Caenorhabditis elegans: one gene and its partners. The protein of the gene in region 2 interacts with the protein of the main gene of each other region in a biochemical or structural test. Each region holds a gene or a part of one and is shown on either strand. Other genes may lie near its edges.

Region 1 (5,313 bases), 1.6 Mb from region 2:
CGGATGAGGACGAAGTCCCAAGAATTGATCAATGACGGCTGTTCCAAGAGGCATGCGAGTTTCAAAGTTCAAGTGAGTCATTTTTACCTAAAACTTTATTTCATGTCTGGAAAATCTGTGTAGAAACTTACGGTTATTAGAATTTGCAATCGAGAGTTGTTCGTCGAGTAGAGCCAAGCTCGTAATAAATTGAGTTTGACCACCCACGCGAAAAAAATATTTTAACTATTGAGGAAATCTGTAGGCCGGCACGTTTAAACTTTTTGGAATGTTTTTTTATACAAACTTACAACAAATGAACCGTAACCGTCTGACTAGAATTGTGAATTTTGAAAAAAAAAAGTCGGAAGAAATGTATTTACGTGTAAGAAAAAAATTGACAAAAAATTTAATCGAATTCTATAAGAAGAGTTTTCAGTTTAATAATCGGCTCCTAATTTTTTTCGTACTTTTTTCCGATTATTTAAATGTTCACTATTTTTTTTTCTCCGGAGAAAAGCAGGTAACATTGCGTGCAATTTGAAAAATATGTAGTGTGAACGCGCTCAACATTTTAAAATTAATTCATCCTTTTTCCTGCGAGAAATCACTATGTACCTATCGAAAGCTTGTTGCTGGCTGCTACTCGAAAATTTTTGTAATTTCGGAAAAATTTGCATCTGGATATTTAGTGCAATAGAATTTAGAATTGGGCACAATTTATGGATATTTATAATTCCCGCCGATATTGCATGTATCTACTCATTTTTGACTCATTTTTCAGAAAGGTGGTTTCTTGTAGTTAGAGACAACTTTATTTGAAGAATTGCATGCTCTCTATAGCAAAAAGAACCGATTTTCCATAAGAAATCAAAATGGATGTTGCAAACTATCAAAAATGTTTTACAGTAAAACTATAAGACCGTACGATCATTTTTTCTCAAGAGTCATTTTTCAGTTCACTTTTTAAAATTTCTTTTTCCCAGTTATTGCAACAAGATAAAAATTATGGAAGTTGTCAAAAAAGTATCAAGAAAGCTCTGTATCACCGAAAAAAACGGGAACCGGATGGTACCGGAGTTGCCGAACGGCAGATCCGGTTTAGGTTAACTTATTTGTTTGTTTTTTTTTCTTAATTTCTAAGTAAAATCAATTTGGTACTTGTGCATTATTTCCCCTCATTTTAATATTATCCATTTTAATAAAACGTGATGTCCATTTTCCATCTTTAGGCTTAGAAATGATTATTTCCTAAGCCTAAAAAACAAAAACTCCACACGTTTTTATTTAAAATTATATTTTAAAAAATGAGGGGAAATAATACACAAGTACCATCAATTTTACTCAATTCCCAAGTAGCAAGTGGTCCTAACAAGTTTATTCATGTTAAGAAACCATAAATATAAAGAAAATGAAGTATCTCATGGAATTTGTGTCAAGTAAAATCGTGTTTCGCCTAGAAATGGAAGGCACATGTTGAAAAAAAAAATTTGAAAAAAAATCAGCTTAGAAGCACTTTCGGTGAACAATCGATGGGCCGGACTCGTCGTACTCCTGCTTGGAGATCCACATTTGCTGGAAGGTTGAGAGGGAAGCAAGAATAGATCCTCCGATCCAGACGGAGTACTTGCGCTCTGGTGGAGCAATAATCTTGATCTTCATTGTGCTGAAAATACAAGAATTATAATCTCATGTACTGAGAAATGTGAAGCTTACCTTGGAGCCAAATGTTGAATCTCCTTTTGCATACGATCAGCGATTCCTGGGAACATGGAGGTACCTCCGGAGAGAACAGTGTTGGCGTAGAGATCCTTTCTGATGTCGACATCGCACTTCATGATGGATTGGTAGGTGGTCTCGTGGATTCCGGCACCTTCCATTCCGATGAAGGCAGGCTGGAAGAGGACTTCTGGGCAGCGGAATCTCTCGTTTCCGATGGTGATAACCTGTCCGTCGGGAAGCTCGTAGCTCTTCTCGAGGGAGGAGGAGGAGGCGGCGGCGGCGAGCTCGGACTCGAAGTCGTGGGCGACGTAGCAAAGCTTCTCTTTGATGTCCCGGACGATTTCGCGTTCGGCGGTGGTGGTAAAAGTGTAACCGCGCTCGGTGAGGATCTTCATCATGTAGTCGGTCAAGTCGCGTCCGGCAAGATCGAGACGTTGGATGGCATGTGGGAGGGCATATCCCTGGAAGATTAGAAGATAAGATCGGATGTAGGTTCTAGATTTCTTAGATCCCAAAGAATTCTCACAAGAAGATTGTGGATCAGATAAGAAGATCAGAAGCTCAGGCTATGATTTGCAGAGAAATGAGGTGGCCTTGCTCTTACTAAGTTCTTACAGTTCCAAAAACTTAAAACTAAGGATAAGAGCTGCTGAGCTGAACTAAAAGTTTCCGAAAGCGCTGTGAGCCTGTTTCTGGCTGCAAAAATTAGTCGAAGCAGACGTAATCTCCAAAACTTTACACCGCCAAGTCAAAGAAGATTGCTGTCTTCTTATATTCTCTAAACCCATCTACCTACTTCATAGATTGGAACGGTGTGAGTGACACCATCTCCGGTGTCCAAAACGATTCCGGTGGTTCTTCCGGAAGCGTACAAGGAAAGCACAGCCTGAATGTTGACGTACATGGCTGGAGTGTTGAAGGTCTCAAACATGATCTGTGTCATCTTTTCTCTGTTGCTCTTTGGGTTCAATGGAGCCTCGGTAAGGAGAACTGGGTGTTCCTCTGGGGCGATACGAAGCTCGTTGTAGAATGTGTGATGCCAGATTTTCTCCATATCATCCCAGTTGGTGACGATTCCGTGCTCGATTGGGTACTTCAAGGTGAGGATTCCTCTCTTGGATTGTGCTTCATCTCCGACATACGAGTCCTTCTGTCCCATACCGACCATCACTCCCTGATGACGTGGGCGTCCGACGATGGACGGGAAGACGGCGCGTGGAGCATCGTCTCCGGCGAATCCGGCCTTGCACATTCCGGATCCATTGTCGACAACGAGGGCGGCGATTTCTTCTTCCATCTGAAATTAATAAAAGGTTGAAGAAGTCGAGTTTATAGAAAACGTTATTAAGTGATGTACGAGTACTATAAAATGCCGAAAAATGAAAATGTTGCCACATTTCCCCAAAAATGCAAAGTGTGTTATCAGTACCGCAGCCAGCTCACCATCGGGGGGAAAACGAGAAAAAGAGAGAATGGAGAGAATATGCCACATTCTGTATGTATATATGTGTGTGCGTTTGATACTGATAACTCCCTCTCTCACTTCGTTCTAAGAATTGCAGGTACGTGGTGGTTATATGTACACACTCACACACACACACACACACAAATTATCACGTCACACAGACAAAGTCATAGTTTGGTGAGCATGATGTAAGCAGCCTGTCAGAATTTGTGCTCAATTCTAGAACATGAAATTGTCAATTGACATGATATGCACTGGGAGGCTGTTAGCTATGGCCGATTTTATAAAATTGCTCAAATCAGTATAACAAATATGGAATAAACCTACGAAATTTTTGAAAATGCAGGCCAACAGGCTTACATCCGGGCTCCCCGAACTTTCCAGTAGCTCAAGCCGGCTGGTCCACTAACAAAGCATTTCAAAAAAATGTTATACATTGTCAGTTGACAACTTTACATGACCTCCTAAGATAAAAAACCCCCAAGAGATAAAAATCAACTACCGCCAGTCACTGGAGCGCTAGGAATGTAAAACTAGAAAAAATAAAGTGATAACATTCCAATTGACTCCAACTTTTAAATACTCCCTAAAATTGAAGTTTCCGCCTACCATTCCTCTTAAAGAAGCCATACTGGGAAAATGAGTCACTGATAAGTAATGAGTCAATGCTAGTTAGAAATACAATAGAAATTTAGGATCATAAACTATATTTTTTTAATGTTAGGGTGCAGCTAATCTTGAAAGTGCCGAAGATTCAAAGTTTCATTACATTACCCTTTCCGTATAATCCCAAAATACCCGTAAAAGTTACTACTACCCTATTCTGCTTATCACTGATAACAAAGAGGAAAGATGAGAAATCGGTCGAAGTGTGGAAGAAATTAATAGTTTAATTATTATTTTGAAAAAAGCAATTAGAAATGGAATAATTGAGATATCGACAATCTGAAAAACGTGAAAATAGCAGCCGGCAGCTTCCTGGGAATGTATGTAACATGGCAACAAAAAGGAAAAGAAAAAAGTTGTAAACTAAATAACAAAATTTATGTAGATTCATGTGTTGGATAGTATATTTTAACTTTTCGGCTGTAGAGGCTTATAGGTGGTTAAACTATATGTTTGTGCATTTACTATAAATCTTCTAACTACATTATAACATCATTACATGATAATCTAAATTACTGAAAAATCTTCATTACCAAGAAATAACTGTCAGTTGAACAAAAAAAAGATAATCTAAAAACTGTTTTGGCAATATTCTAATATGTATCACTTGTCGGACGAGGTATCGGAGTTCAATGTTTTGTTCCAGGTAGCACTATTCAAACTACAGTAACTCTACACTAGTTAAAAATAACAAAAGTTGTCAACTGGTAACACTTTTCATTTCTTAAACGTTTTTAGTTTTCAAAGAAAAGTTACATTTTTGTGCCCCACTGACCGAAAATGTACTTGCATCAACGAATTGTTTTTGTGAAATTTTCAAAACTTCTCATTACGAAATTTGGTAGTTTTGGGTCACTTCGGATCTAAAAAAAGCAAAGTCTCAGATTTCGGTACTCCATCTTTAAATCTTATAATCATACTTGCTTTATGTTTGCAATAGATTTATAATGTTTTTCCAATTTCTTTCCTCAATTATGCAAATCCATAAACTCCCGCCTCTGCACACCTCCAAAACGCTCCAAAACAGTCTCCCCCACTCTTCTATTTTTCTGTTTCTCTTGCACCCTCTCACTCTCTATTTATGCCCGTTCTTATCATTTTCAAGCTTCTTCTCATTCCAGGAAACCTCACCCCCGATTCCTCTTAAAATTGGAAACTCTTATCATCATTGATGACGGAGCAAGTTCATGTTGGCATTGATATTGGCACAACTTCGGCTAAAATTTGTGCAAGGAATGGGGAAAAGTGAGAAAATTCAATATAATCACAAAATTAATAAAAATAAAATTGCCTGCACATTATCAGTTGGCAAGTTTTGAAAAACAAAATTAAAATACAAAAGTGATTAATTGTTTTATTCCTTTGATTGGATCAAAACTATCTCAAAAAACCTATTACCAAAATGTGAAATGTAAATTTTTTCTGAATAGAATAATTGTACAACACTGGCAAAATCTGAAAAGTCATCAAAAAAAGTTTCA
Region 2 (6,639 bases):
GACAAAAGCGGCATTTTTTCGTTTTTTAAAATTTTTACAGAAAATCGAAAATTTGTCAATTTTTTGTGAGAAAATCAGAATTTTTCGATTAAAAAAAAAAAAAATCGAAAATTTTGTCGATTTTTATATATTTTTTAACGAAAAAAAAAACCGGATTTTTTTCGATTTTTTAAACAGAAAATTGGAATTTTCTCGATATTTTTTTTCAGAGCAAATTTTTTTCGAGTTTAGGCCTGATTTTGCTCCAAAAAATCTGAAATAGGCTCAAATTTATTATGTTTCTAGGCATTTTTTTTGTGAAAAATCGCGTTTTTTCGTGATTTTTTCCTGGTTTTTCTAGATTTTTCGTACTAACAAGAGCTTCTTCTGATGGTTGATCATCCCATTCTTCCTCATTTTCAGCGATATCTTCGTCGGCTCCACGGGATACGCTTAGAGCAACTTCTCGTTCAAAAGCTTCCATAAGACAATCTTCGGTGTGCCAATAGAACTCGCGCTGAAAAATGAAATTTTTTGAATTAAAATTGAAATATTCGTTTAAAAAAAAAAAATTTCTGATTTTTTAAATTATTTTGTGAGAAAAATCGGAATTTTTTCGATTCTTTTAATATATTTTTAGAGAAAAATCGGAAATGTTTCAATTTTTTAAATTTTTTAAAAGAAAAATCGAATTTTTTTTTCGATTTTTAATTTTTGTATTAAATTAAAATAGGAATCTTTTTCGATTTTTAATAATTTTTTTAGAGAAAAGTCGGATTTTTTTAATTTGTAATTTTTTTTTTGAGAAAATCAGAATTTTTCCGCTTTTTTATATATATATTTATATTTTTAAAGAAAAATTGGAATTTTTTTTTCGATTTTTTTTTGAGAAAATTGCAATTTTTTCGATTTTTTAAAGAGAAAAATCGGAATTTTTCGATTTTTAATATAAATTTAAAAAAAAAACGGATTTTTTAATGTATTTTTAGAGAAAAATCTGATTTTTTAATGTATTTTTAGAGAAAAATCTGATTTTTTGATATTTTTACTGAAAAATCGGAATAATTTCAATTTTTAATATATTTTTAGAGAAAAATCGGAATTTTCTCGTTTTTTATAAGAAAAATTAGCATTTTTCAATGTTTTTAAATTTTTTTAAAGAAGAAATTGGAATTTTTTCGGTTTTTTAATATATTTTTTGGGAAAAATCGGTTTTTTTTTTTCAATTTTTAATATATTTTCTGCGATTTAATTAGAATATTATCTTCTCTACCTTATTCCGGAAATATTTTCTACATTCAAGGCATAAAAAATGCCGAGAAATTGAAGTCCAGCTCCGTTCCTCTTCGGTTTTTTGTCGCCGCATTCTTTTTTTCTGTTAAAAAAACAATTTTTCGCTGCAATTTCCGTGAAAAGCATTTAAAAATCGTTGAAACGAATGAAAAATTGGAAATTGAACAAAAAAATGGCCAGAAAATCGAATTTTTATGATGAAAAACCGAAAAAATGAGGAAAAAATGAGGAAAAATGAAGAGAAAATAGAAAAATCGATAAATAACAGAGTTCTTCAGTGAGTGGCGAGAGAGTGTGTGAGATGAAGAGACGCAGGGTGTTCGACAGGAGAATTTATTCATAAATCCGCCCAATTAATCGGGTTTCGACCGGAATTTTCGAGCTCCGTGTTGCATTTCGAGAAGCATTTGCATCCCCACCACTTGCGAGCACTCAGCGGAGACGGATGGGCGGTCTGGAAATTTTTTAAAATTTTTTAAAAAATTAAATTTGAGTTTAGTGGAAATATTTTTAAAATACGCTAAAAAATAGGTTTTTTTTTTCACAAAAATCAAAAATTTTGCGATTTTCCACGTCTGAAACCAATCAATTTTTCCCTTTGAAATTAATTTAAATTTTGGTGGAAAATGTCAAAAATTGCCAGAAAAACTTTAAAAAATTCAAGAATTTCCCACAAAATTGTAGTAAAATTGTCAATTTTCAGTTAAAAACCAAAAAAAAAAACAAGATTCTCCAGGTTTTGCTCCAAATTTGCTCCTTGTTTAAAATATCTATGTGAAAAATTGGAAAAAAAAGTCCCTTTTATTGTAGAAAATCGACGATTTTCAAACGCGCGCCAGACATTGAAGCGCGCTGTGTCTTGTGCCGATTTACGAGCCAGCTTTCAGCTTTTTATTCATTTTTATCGGTTTTTTTCGTTGAAAATTGTGTATTTTCGAGCCAATTGAACATTTTATGATCAGAAAACCGCGAAAATTTCCTATTTTTAGATGAAAAAGGAGGTAAATTCAGAGAAAATCGGAATTTTTTGAGTTTTTAAAGAGAAAATTGGAGTTTTTAAATAGAAATTTTCTCGAATTTTTTTTTCGATTAAAAAACAATTTCTGTTTTTCGATTTTTCTCTGAAAAAATAGAAAAAAAAAATTTTAATTTTCTCTTTTAAAAAATCGAAAAAATTCTAATTTTCTCCTTAAAAATTTCAAAAAAATTCCGATTTTCTCTTTTAAAAAATGGAAAAAATTCCGATTTTCTCTGGAAAACTATATGAAAAAATGGAAAAAATTCCGATTTTCTTTGAAAAAATCGAAAATATTCCGATTTTCTCTAAAAAATCAAAAAAAAAATCGAAAAAATTCCGATTTTCTTTGAAAAAAATTAAAAAAAACGAAAAAATTCCGATTTTCTCTGGAAAGAAATAGAAAAATTCCGGTTTTCTATTTAAAAAAAAAAAGAAGAAAAATTCCGATTTTCTTTGAAAAAATCGAAAAAATTCGGTTTTTTTTCTCTGAATTTAAATCATTTTCCATCTAAAAATAAGGAAATTTTGCGAGTTTTATAATAATAAAATGTTCAAAAAACCGAAAAAAAAAATGAAGAAACAGCAAAAAATTGGCTTTAAAAAAACAAATCTCGTAAATCGACACAACACGGTGCGTTCCAATGAGAATCGTCTCTGGCTCTCTGGCGCGCGTTTGAAAATCGTCGATTTTCTACAATAAAAGGGACGTTTTTTTCCAATTTTTCACATAGATATTCGGAATCAGGGGAAAATTTAGAGCAAACCCCTGAATTTTTTTTAGTTTTTAACTGAAAAGTGACAATTTTACTACCATTTTATGGGAAAATCTTGAATTTTTTTCTAGGTTTTCTGGCAATTTTTACCTAAATTTCCAGCAAAATCGCAAAATTTCCGATTTTACAGGTGAAAATCGGCAATTTTTGTCGTTTTCCAACACATTTTTAGGGAAAAAATCTTAAAATCAACTTTTCCATGCTTTTTCCAGAATTCTATCCAGAAAAATAATGACCTTTATAACTACATGTTTCTTTGTATCAATCAGTTCTTCCTTCTTATGAGCAAATCCTCCCCATAACAAAAAGACAATAGGCTTCTCCGATTGTCGCGAAATAATCCGAATAACAGTGTCCGTGAAAGTTTGCCAGCCGATCTTCGCGTGAGAATTCGCCTCGTGAGCCCGAACCGTCAACGTGGCATTCAACATGAACACTCCCTGACGTGTCCAGCCGAGCAGGTTCCCGTGATCGGGCCGCTTGAAGCCTTCAATATCGGATTCAAGCTCTTTATAGATATTTTTCAGCGATGGCGGCGGTTTTACACCCTTCTGAACACTGAAGGAGAGCCCGTGAGCTTGATTATCATCGTGATAGGGGTCTTGACCGATGATAACCACGCTGATCTCGTCGAATGGCAGAAGATTGAATGTTGTGAAAATTTGTGTGGGCGGTGGGAACACTTGCTTGCCCTTGTTCACTTCGGAATTCAAGAATTTCTCGATTTTCGAAATATAGCCTTTTTTGAATTCCTCCTCTAAAAGTTTCGACCAAGATTCACCGGTTAGCAGGGATTTTAGCAGAATTTCAGTTGGTTCTGGTGCTTGTAACTTCATTTTCTTGACTTCTTGATTTTCATTGCCCGCGGGAACTTTTTCCGGAATATTTTCAGTATTTGAAGCGGATTTTCTGAAATTTCGGTGGTTTTTTTTGAATTTTCAGAGCGGGAAATACCGTTTAGAGGCAGCGGATGCTTTGAGGAACATGTCCGGAATTCTTACAGTCTTCGACATTCTGAAATAAACGGAAATCTAGAAGAAAAAAAAAGAATTTTTATTCAAAAAACACGAGTGGAAATGAGATAAAATAAACCTGAGGGCATAGATAAGGATATTTGAAAAATTAAATCACAAAAATGGGAAATTATTCGAGTTATTTGCAGGCAAACCGGTGAATTCGTAACCTGAAAATGAAGAAAATCGATAAAAATCATTTAATTTCGCATTGACTACGGTAGGTAATTGTGTGCACTTTTGCGTGGCGGTGTATGCACAGAATTGATTTTTAAAAAAAATTAATTTTTTTTTAAATTTTAAAATTAATTTATTGAATTTTTCGACGATTTTCTTGAACTTTTCTCACACATTTTTGTGCAAAAACTCTTATTTTCAAACTTTCAGACTCAAAACGCACTGGAAAATCATTAGAAATGGCACCGAAGAAGAAAATGGTAATTTTTATGGCGAAAATTACTTGAAACAGACAAAAAAATCCGAATTATCGAAAAAAAGGACTCTCCCGCCGAAATGTCTCGTTTGAATGGGGTGGCGGCAGCTAGGCCGTGGTTGCACGCGGTCACGTCCAGATGGTCGATAATATTGGCGTTATTGGAGGAGTACGGGGGTTTTTAATGTATAATAATAAGAATAATAATTCAAAAAAAGTGCACTTTCGGACGCTGCAGCACGGAAAAGTGGCCAAAATTAGAGATTTTAGTTAAAATTAGCGCTTTTTTTTTCGAAATTTTGATTTTTTTTTTCACAATTTTCACAATTCCTTTAAAGGTGGGGTAGCGCTAGTGGGGAAATTGCTTTAAAACATGCCTATGGTACCACAATGACCGAATTTCATGATAAAAAATTCAAAAAAAAATTTATAAATTTTATATGATTTTTTGAAAATTGAAAAAATCACAGTTTTCCCCTAATTCCTATTTGAATTACCGCCAATTGAATTTGTTCGATGGGGCGCGCTTGCACGTTTTTAAATTTATTTATTTTATTTTTTGTTATTTTCCACCGATTTTTAATGTTTTCGGTGTATTTTTGCTCGAATTTTAGAGAAAAAATCAACATAAATGCAAATTTTCGATTAAAAAGCACGCTTACAGGCGTAAAAATGAAAAAGTAACGCTTTTAAACGATTTCGAACCTGAATTAATTAATTTCACTGATTTACGCCTGTAAGCGCACTTTTTAATCGAAAATTTGCATTTATTTTGACTTTTTCTCTAAAATTCGAGCAAAAATACACCGAAAACATTAAAAATCGGTGGAAAATAACAAAAAATAAAATAAATAAATTTAAAAACGTGCAAGCGCGCCCCATCGAACAAATTCAATTGGCGGTAATTCAAATAGGAATTAGGGGAAAACTGTGATTTTTCCAATTTTCAAAAAATCATATAAAATTTAGAAAAAATTTTTGAATTTTTTAATCATGATATTCGGTCATTGTGGTACCATAGGCGTATTTTAAAGCAATTTCCCCACAAAGCGTAGTCCACCTTTAAAATTTTTTGGCACATTTTTCTCAATTCCTTTTAAAAAATGTACCTTGATTCTGAAATCCAGGCTGCTGAGAAACCGTGTCAAACCCTCTGCCAACAAGATTATCCATGTATCCAGTGGTTCCACCGCCGTACCCATATCCATTGCCGAATCCATTGTTGTAGGTCCAACTACCAGGCTGATTTTGAAACTGGAACTGCTGGAAATTGTTGTTGGCTGCGAAGCTTTCTGTCGGAGGATTCGGCGTTGTTTCAAAAACGATATTCGGCTTCGGCTCAGGCTTCTTCCTCGGCGGCCTTTTTCTCTTCGGCTTCGGGATCGTCGCTGTTCCGTCAGCTACTACAGTTTCCACGTCATCTGCTTTCTTCCGTCTTGGCGTGGCTTTTTTCTTCGGTTGGGCTTGAATCGGCGGGCTATGAGCCTCATCAGTCGGCTTTACAGTGCTATAAATGTCCCGTGACAATTGAAACTCTGTTGGCTCTGGCACACTCGTTGTAGTGGCTTCTTCCAGAGGTTCAGCTACGGAAGAGGCTGCAATTAATCAATTTGTGAAGCAGGCGTGGGCGGCAAATTGGGCATTTTGCCGATTTGCCGGAAATTTTTAAATTCCGGCAATTTTCCACTTTGCCGGAAATCTTCTTTATCGGCAAAATTCAGGCAAATAAAAAAAGCGAATAAATTCACACTTGTCAAAGCGTAGTGCAAAACAGGGGTGGGCGACAATTTCCGGTCTGCAAATGTTTTATTCCTCCAATTTGCTGAGTTGCCAGAAATTTACGACTCCGGCAAACTTGCCGATTCGCCGGAAATTTTCAATTTCCCACTATTTTCCGATTCGCAGAAAATTTTCAATTCCGGCAATTTGCCGATTCGCCGGAAATTTTCAATTCCGGAAATGTGCCGATTTGCCGGAAATTTTTAATTCCGGAAATTTTGATTTTCGGCAGATTGGCGATTTGCCGGAAATTTCGATTTTCGGAAATTCGCCGATTTGCCGGAAATTTTCAATTCCGGCAATTTGCTGAGTTGCCGGCAATTCTGATTTTCGGCAGATTGGCGATTTGCC
Region 3 (4,935 bases), on a different chromosome or scaffold from region 2:
AAAAGATTTATTCTTATAAAGAAAATGAGAATCAAAGTTACAATAATGTGGAATTTATTATGTTACAGATTCATTTCAGACTTAGAGAATTTGAAGCGGCTTAGGCCTTGGTAGCAATGTAGGAGATAAGGTCGACGACTCTGTTGGAGTATCCGAACTCGTTATCGTACCATGAGACGAGCTTGACAAAGTGTGGGTTGAGTGAGATGGATGCTCCGGCATCGAAGATGGAAGAGTTGGTATCGGAGACAAAGTCAGTGGAGACAACTTGATCCTCGGTGTAAGCGAGAATTCCCTTCATTGGTCCGTCAGCGGCAGCCTTGATAACCTTCTTAATGTCATCGAGGGAAGCTGGCTTCTCAAGACGAGCAGTGAGATCAACAACAGAGACATCTGGGGTTGGGACACGGAAAGCCATTCCGGTGAGCTTTCCATTGAGCTCTGGGATAACCTTGCCGACAGCCTTAGCGGCTCCAGTAGAGGCTGGGATGATGTTTTGTCCAGCTCCACGTCCGTCTCTCCAGAGCTTTCCTGATGGTCCGTCAACAGTCTTTTGGGTGGCGGTGACGGCGTGGACAGTGGTCATAAGTCCCTCAATAATTCCGAAGTTGTCATTGATGACCTTGGCAAGTGGAGCAAGGCAGTTAGTGGTGCAGGAAGCATTGGAGATGATGTGGTCGTTGGCATGATCGTACTTCTCGTGGTTGACTCCGACGACGAACATTGGAGCATCAGCAGATGGAGCAGAGATGATGACCTGAAATTTAAATATATTTATCTTGAAAAATTAAATCACTAATTTACCTTCTTGGCTCCTCCCTTCAAGTGAGCATTGGCCTTCTCGATGGTGGTGAAGACTCCGGTGGACTCAACGACATAGTCGGCTCCAGAGGCTCCCCATTGGATCTCAGCTGGGTCTCTTGAGTTGTAGACCTGAAATTGAATAGAATATTAGGTGAAATCTAATTGGAAATAATTCTACCTTGATCTTGTGCTGGGACTTTCCTTCCTTGGCGACAAGAAGGTAGTCTCCCTCGTGGGCAACGGTTCCCTTGAAGCGTCCGTGAGTGGAATCGTACTGGAACAAGTAGACCATGTAGTCGATGGAGATGAATGGATCGTTGACGGCAACAACATTGACACTGTCCTTCTCGACAGCGGCGCGGAGGACAAGACGTCCGATTCTTCCGAATCCGTTGATTCCGACACTTGGCTTGGTCATGATGCGTTGAAGCAGTTTCCCTGAATTAAAATTAGAAGTTGAAAATACAATAGAAAGAAAATTGGAAGGTATATAAACTCGCAAAAACGAGGAAATGGCAGATTCAATAAGATGAATAAATATACAACCTTTATTGAGAAGAGACCATTTATATACTTGTAAGCTTCTAGGAAAATTTTAGATACTAAAGAGAAGCATAGATTTTAAGACAAGCAGTTAACTAGGTGAAAGTAGGATGAGACAGCTTAGGCCTTGGTGGCGATGTACGAGATGAGATCAACAACTCTGTTGGAGTATCCGAACTCGTTATCGTACCACGAGACGAGCTTGACGAAGTGTGGGTTGAGTGAGATGGATGCTCCGGCATCGAAGATGGAAGAGTTGGTATCGGAGACAAAGTCGGTGGAGACAACTTGATCCTCAGTGTAAGCGAGAATTCCCTTCATTGGTCCGTCAGCGGCAGCCTTGATAACTTTCTTGATGTCATCGAGGGAAGCTGGCTTCTCAAGACGAGCAGTGAGATCAACAACAGACACATCTGGGGTTGGGACACGGAAAGCCATTCCGGTGAGCTTTCCATTGAGCTCTGGGATAACCTTTCCAACAGCCTTAGCGGCTCCAGTAGAGGCTGGGATGATGTTCTGTCCAGCTCCACGTCCGTCTCTCCAGAGCTTTCCTGATGGTCCGTCAACAGTCTTTTGGGTGGCGGTGACGGCGTGGACAGTGGTCATAAGTCCCTCAATAATTCCGAAGTTGTCATTGATGACCTTGGCAAGTGGAGCAAGGCAGTTAGTGGTGCAGGAAGCATTGGAGATGATGTGGTCGTTGGCATGATCGTACTTCTCGTGGTTGACTCCGACGACGAACATTGGAGCATCAGCAGATGGAGCAGAGATGATGACCTAAAAATTTAAATATATTTATGCACAAAAGTTGATTACAAGTTACCTTCTTGGCTCCTCCCTTCAAGTGAGCGTTGGCCTTCTCGATGGTGGTGAAGACTCCGGTGGACTCAACGACATAGTCGGCTCCAGAGGCTCCCCATTGGATTTCAGCTGGGTCTCTTGAGTTGTAGACCTGAAATTTAAGAGAATGTTTAACAAAATATGTTTGGAAAATATTCTACCTTGATCTTGTGCTGCGACTTCCCTTCCTTGGCGACAAGAAGGTAGTCTCCCTCGTGAGCAACGGTTCCCTTGAAGCGTCCGTGGGTGGAGTCGTACTGGAACAAGTAGACCATGTAGTCGATGGAGATGAATGGATCGTTGACGGCAACAACGTTGACACTGTCCTTCTCGACAGCGGCGCGGAGGACAAGACGTCCGATTCTTCCGAATCCGTTGATTCCGACACTTGGCTTTGGCATGGCTGAAAATTGATACTACTACAATCAGTTCAACTAACATACAAACGACAAATAAAAATAGAATGATCGAAATGAAAATCGAATCAAATTGAAGAGAGAAGAATATGAAGTGAAGCCATAAAAACCATGTTTACTATTTGACGAAACATGTGCAGTAAGCGAAAAAAAAATGATGCAATAGGCAAGATGAAGAAATGCGGTGTGAGAGAGAAAATAGAGAGGAGAGAATAAGTATGCATAAAAAGAAAGGGAAAATTGAAAATGATGATGCAAAAAGAACAGAGAGCCGTTTGAAAAGCCCTCTATTTTTTATGTTCCGTGTCCTTTCTCGATTTCCTTCAGTCGTTGCTGATGTTGTTCGAGAACCTGAAATGAAAGTATTGAAGAACGTTGAAAGGTAGTGGAAAACAAAAAAAAAGAGATTGTTTGTGAAAACCAATCTATCTCTTCATTATGCTCGCTAGTCGCCCGTCTCTCTAACATATCAAGGTCAACTGTGTAAAATAGAGAGATTCGAAAGGAGTCCCCGGTCTATTTTGAATCAGTTCTAGAACACGCCACTTTCGCAGATAAGAGTTTCGGCAGTGTCATGTGACACATCAAAGAATAACGAGTTAATCAACAACAATATTTTCCTGCGTGTTTTCCTTAAATGGAGTGTCTCGTACCTTTTCATGATCCCGAATTTCCTGTTGGCTTTGCGTCATATCTGCTTCAAGCTTCTTCTTGAGATTGTCCAACTGATCTTTTTGTTGTCTTCGGAAGTATTCTTCTTCTCTGGTGGCGCCCATCATGCCGAGTGATCCACCTGCTTCACGGATTGAGCCGCCGGAGCCTCCACCATGTCCAGCACCACTTCCACTTCCAGATCCTGACATCTGTTTTGATTTCCTGGAAATGAACTAACTGGATTATATGAGCATGGCTCCAAAAGTAAAGAGAAGCGAAAGAAGAAAGCTGTCAAGAAGACGTCGAAGGGAGCATGCCTTTTTTATTTCTGAGAAGAAAAAGAAGAAAAGCAGCTAACACACACACACAAGTTTGTAGCACGTAAAGTAATCTTGAGTGAGAGCGAAGGGCGAAGGTGATGCAAACAGGCCCTCCCAAAACAAATTTCACAATGCGAGTGGCGTTTCGATGGCCGGAGACCGAGGACACTGGGCCGCCCATTTCCAAACGGCAATCGATTTTGTTTTTTTTACACACACATCAATATACACGCACAAACATTAACTCACAAACACACACACACACCGCACTCTCGTGAACTGAACGCACAAAACGTGTGTGTGTGTCAGTAAACTCTGATCTAGTAGAAAATAGTGCGTGTGTTGCAGAGGATTTAGAGAAAGGGTCGAGAAGAGAGTTTCGAGCCGCCCGTGAATTGATATCATAAACAATTGAAGACTTTGAAACATTTACAACATTTGACCTTCGAGAAAAAGAAGAACGAAATAAAATATTTACTAACCTCAAAAGTCTTTGTGAGCAAGAGCAACATTGGTTTCCGGTGAGCTCCTTGAAGTCAAACTCTGTTGTGTTGTTTCCTTAGAAGGCAGGGCAGGGTCGCTGTTTTTTTAGGGGAGCCGCCGTGGCGAGGCGAACATAGAGAGTGAAGGGAGCGAGGCGGGTAGCCTCAACTGATGCATAGAGAGAAAATGGGCCAACTGCGAGTGCGACGACGGCCTAGCCAGCCGGCACGAATCGATGGAGATGCCGACGTCGCCGACACACGATTGCTGGCCGTTGGCACGTAGGCAACGGCAGTGTAGTAACAGGAAAAGAAGAGATTTGAGGAGTTGCTCTTCTTTTCGCTTGGAGCAACTCTTTTCCAACCCGAAAGTTTTCAATGATAAAATATAGAACAACACGAAGATGAAAAGGCGCAGTCGCTAGTCAATCGTTCTGAAGATCAAACTAGTGGCCGGAGTAAATGGGAGGAGTTGGAAAATAATCAACGAGAAAAGTGTTTTTCATTGACATCAAAGAATGTTTTATATCAGTTATCACTGATCACTAGTCACTAGTTTTTTCAATTTCTGAAAGAAAATCTAATTTACTAATAGACACACGATGAATCAGAATTTATTCAAATGTATCTGATCAGTTGAATACGTGAGATCTTTTATAAAAGCTAATATCAACCAAAAGTTCAAAATCACTTCGAGATCAAAACTCTAATGGCATATGTTTGAATGCACGAAGTCAATAATTCTAACAGGCGAGAGTGCTATAGTTTTCTCAAAAAGTGGCAAAAACTCAGGAATTTCCACTTTTTGACTGTCAATAACAATTTTTCAAAATTTAATGTATCATAAACGTGTAATGTAATAACTTACCAAAACAT

Evidence for each region. The genes of interacting proteins can lie anywhere in the genome.
Region 1: the proteins of ung-1 (region 2) and act-5 form a complex in vitro, tested with the Caenorhabditis elegans proteins (one large-scale study listed by BioGRID).
Region 3: the proteins of ung-1 (region 2) and gpd-2 form a complex in vitro, tested with the Caenorhabditis elegans proteins (one large-scale study listed by BioGRID).

The regions. Positions count from the first base shown.
Region 1 is NC_003281.10:13,603,069-13,608,381, forward strand, and holds act-5 (Actin), read right to left. Parts: upstream 2,999-5,313; coding exon 2,498-2,998; intron 2,163-2,497; coding exon 1,696-2,162; intron 1,646-1,695; coding exon 1,486-1,645; 3' UTR 1,344-1,485; downstream 1-1,343. Other genes in the region: shpk-1 (Carbohydrate kinase FGGY N-terminal domain-containing protein), read left to right, coding at 5,004-5,077.
Region 2 is NC_003281.10:11,970,014-11,976,652, forward strand, and holds ung-1 (Uracil-DNA glycosylase), read right to left. Parts: upstream 4,078-6,639; 5' UTR 4,077-4,077; coding exon 4,018-4,076; intron 3,973-4,017; coding exon 3,300-3,972; intron 1,727-3,299; coding exon 1,610-1,726; 3' UTR 1,454-1,609; downstream 1-1,453. Other genes in the region: Y56A3A.28 (C2H2-type domain-containing protein), read right to left, coding at 356-496, 1,253-1,345; Y56A3A.30 (SP-RING-type domain-containing protein), read right to left, coding at 4,191-4,246, 5,619-6,104; Y56A3A.31 (SOSS complex subunit A homolog), read left to right, coding at 4,493-4,513. UniProt on the Caenorhabditis elegans protein: Excises uracil residues from the DNA which can arise as a result of misincorporation of dUMP residues by DNA polymerase or due to deamination of cytosine.
Region 3 is NC_003284.9:3,112,100-3,117,034, forward strand, and holds gpd-2 (Glyceraldehyde-3-phosphate dehydrogenase 2), read right to left. Parts: upstream 2,591-4,935; 5' UTR 2,589-2,590; coding exon 2,349-2,588; intron 2,300-2,348; coding exon 2,171-2,299; intron 2,125-2,170; coding exon 1,468-2,124; 3' UTR 1,344-1,467; downstream 1-1,343. Other genes in the region: gpd-3 (Glyceraldehyde-3-phosphate dehydrogenase 3), read right to left, coding at 101-757, 805-933, 983-1,222; mai-1 (ATPase inhibitor mai-1, mitochondrial), read right to left, coding at 2,898-2,954, 3,257-3,466.